Linked DNA regions of Kluyveromyces lactis. The protein of the gene in region 1 interacts with the protein of each later gene in a biochemical or structural test. Links are inferred from orthologs where the notes say so. Each region holds a gene or a part of one and is shown in the gene's direction. Other genes may lie near its edges. The genes, in order: KLLA0_F18216g and IME2.

Evidence for each region.
Region 2: of the proteins of KLLA0_F18216g (region 1) and IME2, one has a biochemical effect on the other in vitro, tested with the Saccharomyces cerevisiae proteins (2 studies listed by BioGRID). The link is inferred for Kluyveromyces lactis from reciprocal best matches to the Saccharomyces cerevisiae genes RIM4 and IME2.

Annotation. Positions count from the first base shown.
Region 1 is NC_006042.1:1,676,491-1,680,652, forward strand, and holds KLLA0_F18216g (uncharacterized protein), read left to right. Parts: upstream 1-1,240; coding exon 1,241-3,367; downstream 3,368-4,162. Other genes in the region: NPR3 (Npr3p), read right to left, coding at 3,809-4,162. UniProt on the Saccharomyces cerevisiae protein: Positive regulator of sporulation-specific genes and of sporulation. Required for premeiotic DNA synthesis and meiotic chromosomal segregation. May act in a nutritional signaling pathway.
Region 2 is NC_006042.1:262,770-267,224, forward strand, and holds IME2 (protein kinase IME2), read left to right. Parts: upstream 1-1,559; coding exon 1,560-3,827; downstream 3,828-4,455. Other genes in the region: KLLA0_F02860g (NAD(P)/FAD-dependent oxidoreductase), read left to right, coding at 4,331-4,455. UniProt on the Saccharomyces cerevisiae protein: Protein kinase which is essential for the initiation of meiosis and sporulation.

The DNA of each region.
Region 1 (4,162 bases):
TCTATTAGTTTCGCTGAAATCCTTTTCGGCTTCTGAGAACAGTCTCTACAGTTCTATTTTCAGATTTTTACCCGATTTGGCTTCGTTTGGTACTTTTTTTTTTAGCAGCCAATGCAAGTTTGAACTGGAAAAAGACCGTTCAAAGAGTCACAAGATAATACAGGGACAAAATATTCAACAAAGGAGCATTCTGAACTTTTGAAAGATAGTTTTATTTCAAAACTTGCCTCCACACAATTGCAAAACATTATTATATCCCTGTTTTTTATTATATCCAGTTTTCATATTTTTGTTTTGAACTCGTACACATATCAAACAGTGAAAACTGCACTCAAAATATAATAACCGATCAATTATAAATTGATTTAAGCTGCAATACCTTTCTCCCTCATTGTGTTCTCCTTCCTATCTTTACACAATATCTTTATTATCTTGTGTTTTATTAGCTGTTCTGATTCTCCTTCCTTCTCCTTCAATCAAATATTAATATTGAGGAGAGGAAACGAACCCATAATCCAATAGATCACCGACATAAGGCAAAAGTACACTCGCACGTTACAAGACTGTTGACCATACCGTACGAATAAAGGAGCACATTGTTTTATTCCATTACAAATTCCGAGATTATATCGCCTAGAAATAAAAGTAGGGGGCTATCTGGACATATTTATACTATTTGTCCACTTGTTTTTTCCCTCTCTTGGCCAGGTCACTTTGCCGCAGTACTTGAAAATTAAGACAAATTTTTTTTTGAGAAATAAAACCGGAGCTGAAGTTTCAGAGGAAAAGCGCATATTCCCCCCCAAAGTGAGAAAAAAATTGCACGATTTTCACGACGCAAGAAGATCCACGGCAAAAGGTTTTCTATTTCTCGGGATACAATATCTTTCTATCACCTCCATTCTCCGAACAAACAGGGCAAATCATAGATCGTTTTAAATAGGGTTTGTGACCAATATTTTCTCCACAGCGTGCCATATCAATAACGTTGCTCAGGTCAAATTATATTAAGAAGGCTAAATCATAACTAGCTGCTTCGAACCCACAGATTCATCGAACCGTTTTGATCAAAACAGTTTCTTTGTTCTGAAGTTTGTCATTTGAGGAATCAAAATTTGTCACATCACTATTGATTCATCCTTTTTACAGATCTGACTTTTTTTTCGTTTTTTGCACAGAGGAGGAAAGCCGAAAACCTTAATAGTGCCTAACGTCTAAAAAAAGAAAACAACAAAGAGTAATGTCATCCAATATGTCGAAAAACATCAACGAGAGTTTTAAAGACCGTATTGTGATTAATGATTCACCCAATGAGTCAGGTGAAATATTAAGGCAAAGGTCGAATGAAACTGAAAACCAAACCAAAAATAAAGAGGAAATTTCTTCAGATAAACCTGTCATCAATTTAGAAAAGGAATTGACTGCTCTTAAAATCGACCGTCAATCATTGTTAGATGATAATTTAACAAACTTGCTGCCAGAACAGCTTTCTGAAATAGCAAGTGAATCAGAAACAGATTCAGATGAGGATACTACTAATTTGTTGGATGAACCGTCTCCAAGATCCTCTGATGACCCTTCCTTTTCAAGACCATCGTCTTGTATTTTCGTTGCGTCTTTAGCGGCCACTCTTAGTGATTCCGAACTCAACGCATCCGTGACAAAAGAGTTTGCGAAATATGGTAAAATTGTGTCTGTGAAAGTATTGCGTGATCCAGCAAACAGGCCTTACGCATTTGTTCAATATGCATCAGACGATGAAGCATTGAATGCGTTATCTCAAGCTCAAGGTACAACGTTAAACAATAGAAATATTCGTTGTGAAAGAGCAAAGGTCAACAGAACTGTATTCATCTCGTCAAGTTTTGCTAATCCACTAGAGGGAAAATTAACTGTTGAAAAAGTGGTAGATTTGATGAGTAAATTTGGGGAATTGGAACAAGTTGTCCCTAGCAGAGACCAAATGTATAAGAAAAATTATTATCCAAGTGAGGTAGCAAACTCTTGGTTTATCCAATACGCTTATCGGGACGATGCGATTAGAGCATATTTGCAAATGAAACTCAATTACGAATACATGGTGGAATGGGCACAAAATGTCGATGTTCCTCCAAGGTTCAATTTGCTACTTTCAAAGGCTAAAATTTGCGAAAAGGAACGATTAGAAAGAGAACGATTCGGTAAGCAACCAATTTTCATCGATAACAAGTCCATATTCATAGGACAATTGAATTTTAAAGTTACTAAACCATTACTTTTGGAAAGGTTTTCAAAATATGGAGAAATCGACAATTGCAACTTGATCCACAAGCAGGAACAATTGAAATGCTTTGCCTTTATCAAGTACAAGACTCCGGCATCAGCTGCAAAAGCGTTGGAAAGAGAGAATCATTCAATATTCGTGGAGAAAATACTGCATGTGCAGATCAGAGAGGTATCTAATTCAAGGCGTAGTTCAATTGATTCCAATAAGTCATTCCAGGGGCCTCAGTTGAACTTGGCACCTCCGCCTTTGAATATAGGAAGGAGAGCAAGTACAGGGTCTTTTTCAAAATACATGTATCCATTACCAAATCATTTACAACCAAATCTGCCATCTCATTATGTGTATGCTACGATACAAGAACCAAGGAGAAATACTATAAACTCAGGCTCATCATCCTACCACAACCATAATCATGTTTTCGTTGGCAATACTGGTTCACAAGGTTTTTATAATGAAAATGGTAACCAGTATGTTTATGGCACAGAAAGCAAAAATTATCCCAACAAAACAGACAATGGAGTTGAAAAAGAAAATGCTTATCTAGAAGGTCCTCAGCAAATGCATAGTACCCACTTCAATAGGTCAAAAGACGATATCGAAAATAGCACAATTGAAGAAGAAGATGATGAATATGAAGTCGATGAAGACAATGATGCAGAGGACACACATTTCTTAGAACACGAGTCCAACTCATCATTCACAACTTTCAGCGCAGGCACTGGAACGTTCAAACATAACAATGCGCATAACACTGGTTCTTATCAAAAGAATCATAGTTACAAGAAGCGAAGAAATGTAGATGCACCAAGGCATGGTAGGATGGATCCAAATTTCTACTACGGCCCGCCAGTGTACTACCCAATGGAGTACTGTCCACCTTCTGGTAGCCCCGTTGGCCCTCCGCCCTCTCACTTGATTCAGCCGGGCGCTCACTTGACGGGACAGTGTCCACCTTCTCAACATTCCCCATTCTTTTATTACTTCCCTATGCCACCTCCTACACCGACATTTACTAATCCATTCCCACACGAACACCCTGGCGGTATGAACTATTTGGATAATTCTGTCTCTGGACATGATAAAGCAGACCTCGACTATTGAATATGTCATTTTCTTTCTACTTTTTTTTAGCGTAATCATTGCACTATCTTAGGCCCTCCTAGTGATTAACTCTTTTTCACCTTCTTTTTAGTCAACCACAGGGCATATACTCGGCACCGTCTTATAATATGTTCCCCAGTGGCGTTTCATTTGTACATGTCCTTCTCTTTTAGATAAATAAACTTAAGATATCATCTTAAACTTTACATGCATGGCATATATATATAGATATGTTTTCTGTTCGAGCTTCTCCGGAATTACAAACTGTTATGGTTACAACATGCAAAACAAAAAATATAAAACACAGTGAATTGATTAGTTATGACATAAAGTTATGCAACTCCAAAAATGGCTTATTATATAGTACTTAATTATTATGCATTGACAAAATCCTGTGCGTAGAATCGATTAGAAGAATAACAATGTAAGGGGATAGGGCATTTACCAGTGTTTTACTTCAACGATGTACTTACCTAAGGCCTGAAGCAATCTTTTTATCTCATTTTTAGGAATACCTTCCTTAATCATAATGTACTCCAAAGAAACCTTCCCATTAAAGTATTTCACCACTTGTCTAAATAGCGTTTGAAGATCAGTAGGTAATGCCTCAGCACATTTGTACAACCATCTCTTTTCTAATGCAGTATTACGTTCTGGTTCAAGAATTATAGTGAAATCATTATCGTTGATCATCTCCAAATCATCAAACTCACTGGAGTTATAATTTTCACCTCCAGTAACAAAATTACCGGACTTTTCGTGTTTGTTCGATCTTAAGTTATCCTTTTCTAGATC
Region 2 (4,455 bases), about 1.4 Mb from region 1:
TAATTAACATATTGTCGTACTTCATCCAATTTACACATAAATGATTCATTTACTGCCATAAGGGGGGCAGGGCGTTTCTACTGAAGCTATTAAAGGAAATTCGGTATTATCTATATCGGTAAGTTTAGCCGCCATATTTTCTTGAAAAATTTTCCTTTCAGTTGTTGTAGCCAAACTGTGGGGAAGGGAGAACTATGGTCAGAAGCGATCGCAATGTTTACCACTCACATCATGACGTGCAATAGGTGCGCCATATTGGGTCATATATAAATTACTAGTATACTTAAATTTTTGTCGGTACTTCTTAGCAGAATCTCTAGTGGGCCCCAATCTTTTCGGCGCTTACACTGCAGAATTCGGCAAATGCTGCATTTTCGGTAAATGTGCCTGTACTTAACCCCTTTATATCCAAATTATTCGATTGATCTATTAATACATAGGTTAGTATGTACATATCTTCCGCTCCCATCCTGTCCCGTTTAATTCCCGTAGCCAATCTTGCCGAACCTTTCTTCCCCTTAATCTAACTCTCTAGAAGTTGTTCGTGCCCGGTAATATTTGGAGGGGTACAATCCGATCATTTTAAAGTATATGGAGAATCAATTAATAAATTAGATTTTTAATGGTTTGTATATTGAGTTTCCCTTATCGTAGACTCACCCCTCCCCTATACCGCTATACATGGATTTATCGCCTTGTACAGGAACACTTATCAGCTTGTAGATCTGGATTTTTTTTTTTATTGCTGAAAAGAAGAATACATCCTTTGCACCAGAATTAGGCGCCGACATGTTGGAATTCTTTTGTGGAATATATAAAGGATGCGTTATTCAAAGGATCTCCTTTAATTTTGAATCTTTTTGTGTTCTCATCTTCTAATTACCGTATTGCTGTCAGTTATGTGTATCTTTTTAAGTTATGTATCAATTGTGAACGAAGGAAACCACATGCATATTTGCAGCAGAAGGAACAAATTTCACACTTACTTTTACTAGGATCGATAGTGGCTAACTGAAGCTCCTGTTGTTCTGTTTTGAAGTTTTACATTGAAAAAGTGTTTTAGTATATAACAACTAGACACAGCATCGCCTTTTCACTTTTTGAGATCAAAGGTATTATCGTTGTTTGAGTTTCATTTTGAAACTGCATATTAAGAGAGTGTTAATATATCAGGATTATTGTTTTTCTGTTTTTCTATTTTTCTCGATTCTATCCTATACAGCATTATCTAAGGTGTCAGATTTCAGAGATTTCAGACATTCGATAAATTTTTTTTTTCTAAAAAAGTTAGAATAAAGAGAGCGGTACAAAAAGGCAAAAACGGCACTCAGAAGACACAAAACGAAACACTCCAATAGGTGTCAGTTTTAGGAATCCTGTAATAAAAGCCGACACAAAAAAAGCATAAGATTAGTTATAAAATCAACCAAAAAAAAAGTGCTTCTAATTTATTACCGCGTAATTGAATCTTAAAACACAAGATTAATCGTTACATTTTAAAATAAAATTCACTAGAATATTTGTCAATCAACTACTTCAATAAAGCAAAGAAGAACAAAATGCCAGCTTTAACTTTGACCACAGCAGATTCCTTCATACCCCCAGATGTTAATAACCCTCCATTCTATATTCCGCTCAAGAATATCGATGCTAGATATAACGTAATTCAGGAATTGGGGAAAGGATCCTTCGGATCTGTGACATTGGCCGAGACAATGTACGATATGAACAGTTCAGCCACCCAAATTTCCTCAATGTACCCAGAAACTTTGATGGATCAAACTCTTATCAGAAACGTCGAACAAGAAAACTGGTACTATAAGAAAAAGGGTATAGTGGCAATCAAAACAATGATGAATAGATTACCAACATTGCATGACTATACAAGAGTCAGAGAGATCAAATTCATATTGCAAATTCCTGCACACAAAAATTTGGTTACCATATACGAGATGTTCATTGATGATTCTTTGTATCACCTTCACATTGTAATGGAATGCATGGAGCAGAACATTTATCAATTGATGAAACATAGGAAAAGAAGAGTGTTTTCCCTACCTACTTTGAGGTCGATATTATTCCAAATATTAGCAGGAATTAAACATATTCATGATCACGATTTTTTCCATAGAGATATCAAACCGGAGAATATCTTGATATCGCCATCTCATAGGTACTTCAGCAAGAAATGGTTGGAAGATGATAATTATTCGGATAATTACGTGGTGAAATTGGCTGATTACGGTTTGGCAAGACATGTGAATAACAGATCACCTTATACCACCTATGTGTCGACCCGTTGGTATAGGTCACCAGAAATTCTTCTTAGAAAAGGATACTATTCCAAACCGTTGGATATTTGGGCGTATGGTTGTGTTGTTGTCGAACTAGCCACCTTTTCACCACTATTTCCCGGTTCTGACGAAACCGATCAAATATGGAGGATTCTAGATTTATTGGGCTCCCCAGATCATTCTATCAATGGAAAGGAGCACTTTGGGGGTTCATGGCTGGATTCAAAACCATTATACCAAGCTTTGAACTATGAATTCCCATACGTAGAAGGGAAAACGATAAGGGATGTTCTACCAAACCCACAATTGGAAGATCTATATGATGTGGTTACATCTTGCCTAAAGTGGAATCCAAGTGAAAGGGCTACTGCAAACGAAATATGTGCATTGCCATACTTCAAGGAATACGTGATGAGAGAAGCATCTTTGGCAAAGACAAATAACGGAACCGCATCCAAAAATAAGGATAATACAGCTTTGGCAAATAAACTTGCAGCAAATCCATCAATATCAAACCAATGGAGTCGTATTCTTTCTGGACTACCACATAACCCGGAATTGGGCATTGTTCCTAGTTTTAACTCTCCACAGAAGTTACCAAAGGTTCAAAAGAACAATCAAATGAATTGTGTAACAGATAAAAGCCAACAGCAACCGCGAAGAGGAGGAGTTGCCTCATGGTTCAAATTTTCCACGCAGAAAAACCACGTTAACATCAATCCAAATACAAACAATGATGAGAAAATCCTTACTAGTGTTAACACGAATACAAATAGCCAGAAGAATCAAGGAATTGTAGAAAAAAAACAGCAGGAACAACAGGTAAATGCTCACAACGAGAGGCTAGATAGCTCTACAAACGCTAATGGTAACAGTATTCCTGATATAAATCTCATAGGACATGCCAACAATGATAATGAGGTATTCACTATTGAGCTGGATGATAGCATGGAGACTATGACAGGATCTGATCAAATTTCTAAGGAATTAAATGACAAAATAGAGCTTTATCAAGACACCACAAATCAGATGAACCCACCAACTCTGGATGTTGATGACGATGACGATGAACATGATTCGATTGACATGGACCATGAGAATTATAGGATTCAGGTGTTGGACGAATTTGATACTGATGAGAACTTGGAACATGAAATTAGAGCGACCGACAAAGATGAAAACAATGAAGTTGCCGTTGATAAGATGAAGATCTCCAATCAAGGAGAAGACGAAGATGATGCAGATAGTCTTCTAAACTATTATCAGGATATGATGGCTAAGAAATTACCACTTAACAAAAACAAAGGTAATTACATGCATTCGAATGGACCAGCGGGTCCTACACTATCAGATCAAATGGCAATAGACGATTCACTTGATCTACAAGAACAGATCCCAAGAAATCTGCTGGAGAGGGCAGTACAGCAAAGAGTTTTAGATTGTCTTTTAGATCCATCGGAACATGCATCTCAAAACCTGATTCAAACCTCTAACTCCCACAATCATACATTCCAAGATGGATTAAGTTTCTGATCGTAGAACAAAGAACAGCAGGCTGTTCCTCTCTTTCAGTTCTACTCGTTGAAATTTCTTTCAACAACGCTTTACCTGGTCCTCTTCCCATTCATTTATACCGTTTATAATATCCACACACACACACACACATATTCACCTTTTGTACCTGCTAGCTCATAAGTTTTAACATAACTTGCTTCTATTATTTCCTTTATAACTTGTTGGATACAGGACAGAAATGCCGACAACTCTTTCACTCTATAACATGGTACTTCTACTTGATTTACCTCTTATGTACACTATTATCCTTACTGTCTTTGTTTACTATCTCAAGTTTTTTTTTTTTTTCTTGGTAAACTGTTCCTATCAGCTCCGAGGTCCGATGATTCAAAATCTTTCGAGCCATCAACTTTACATTGTACTTCAAAGTCTTTATAAAGAAGAACTTCGGTTAAGAAAGAACATAGATAATATATTCAACTATACAGCTTTCCTCACATTAGACAGGCAGCGAACCGGAAATGTCCAATTATGATGTTGTCATTGTTGGCGCGGGTATATTTGGATTAAGTACTGCTGTGCAATTGGCTCGTTCCAAATATAAAGTTGTGGTGGTTGATAAGTTTCAAATTCCATCGCAGTTAAG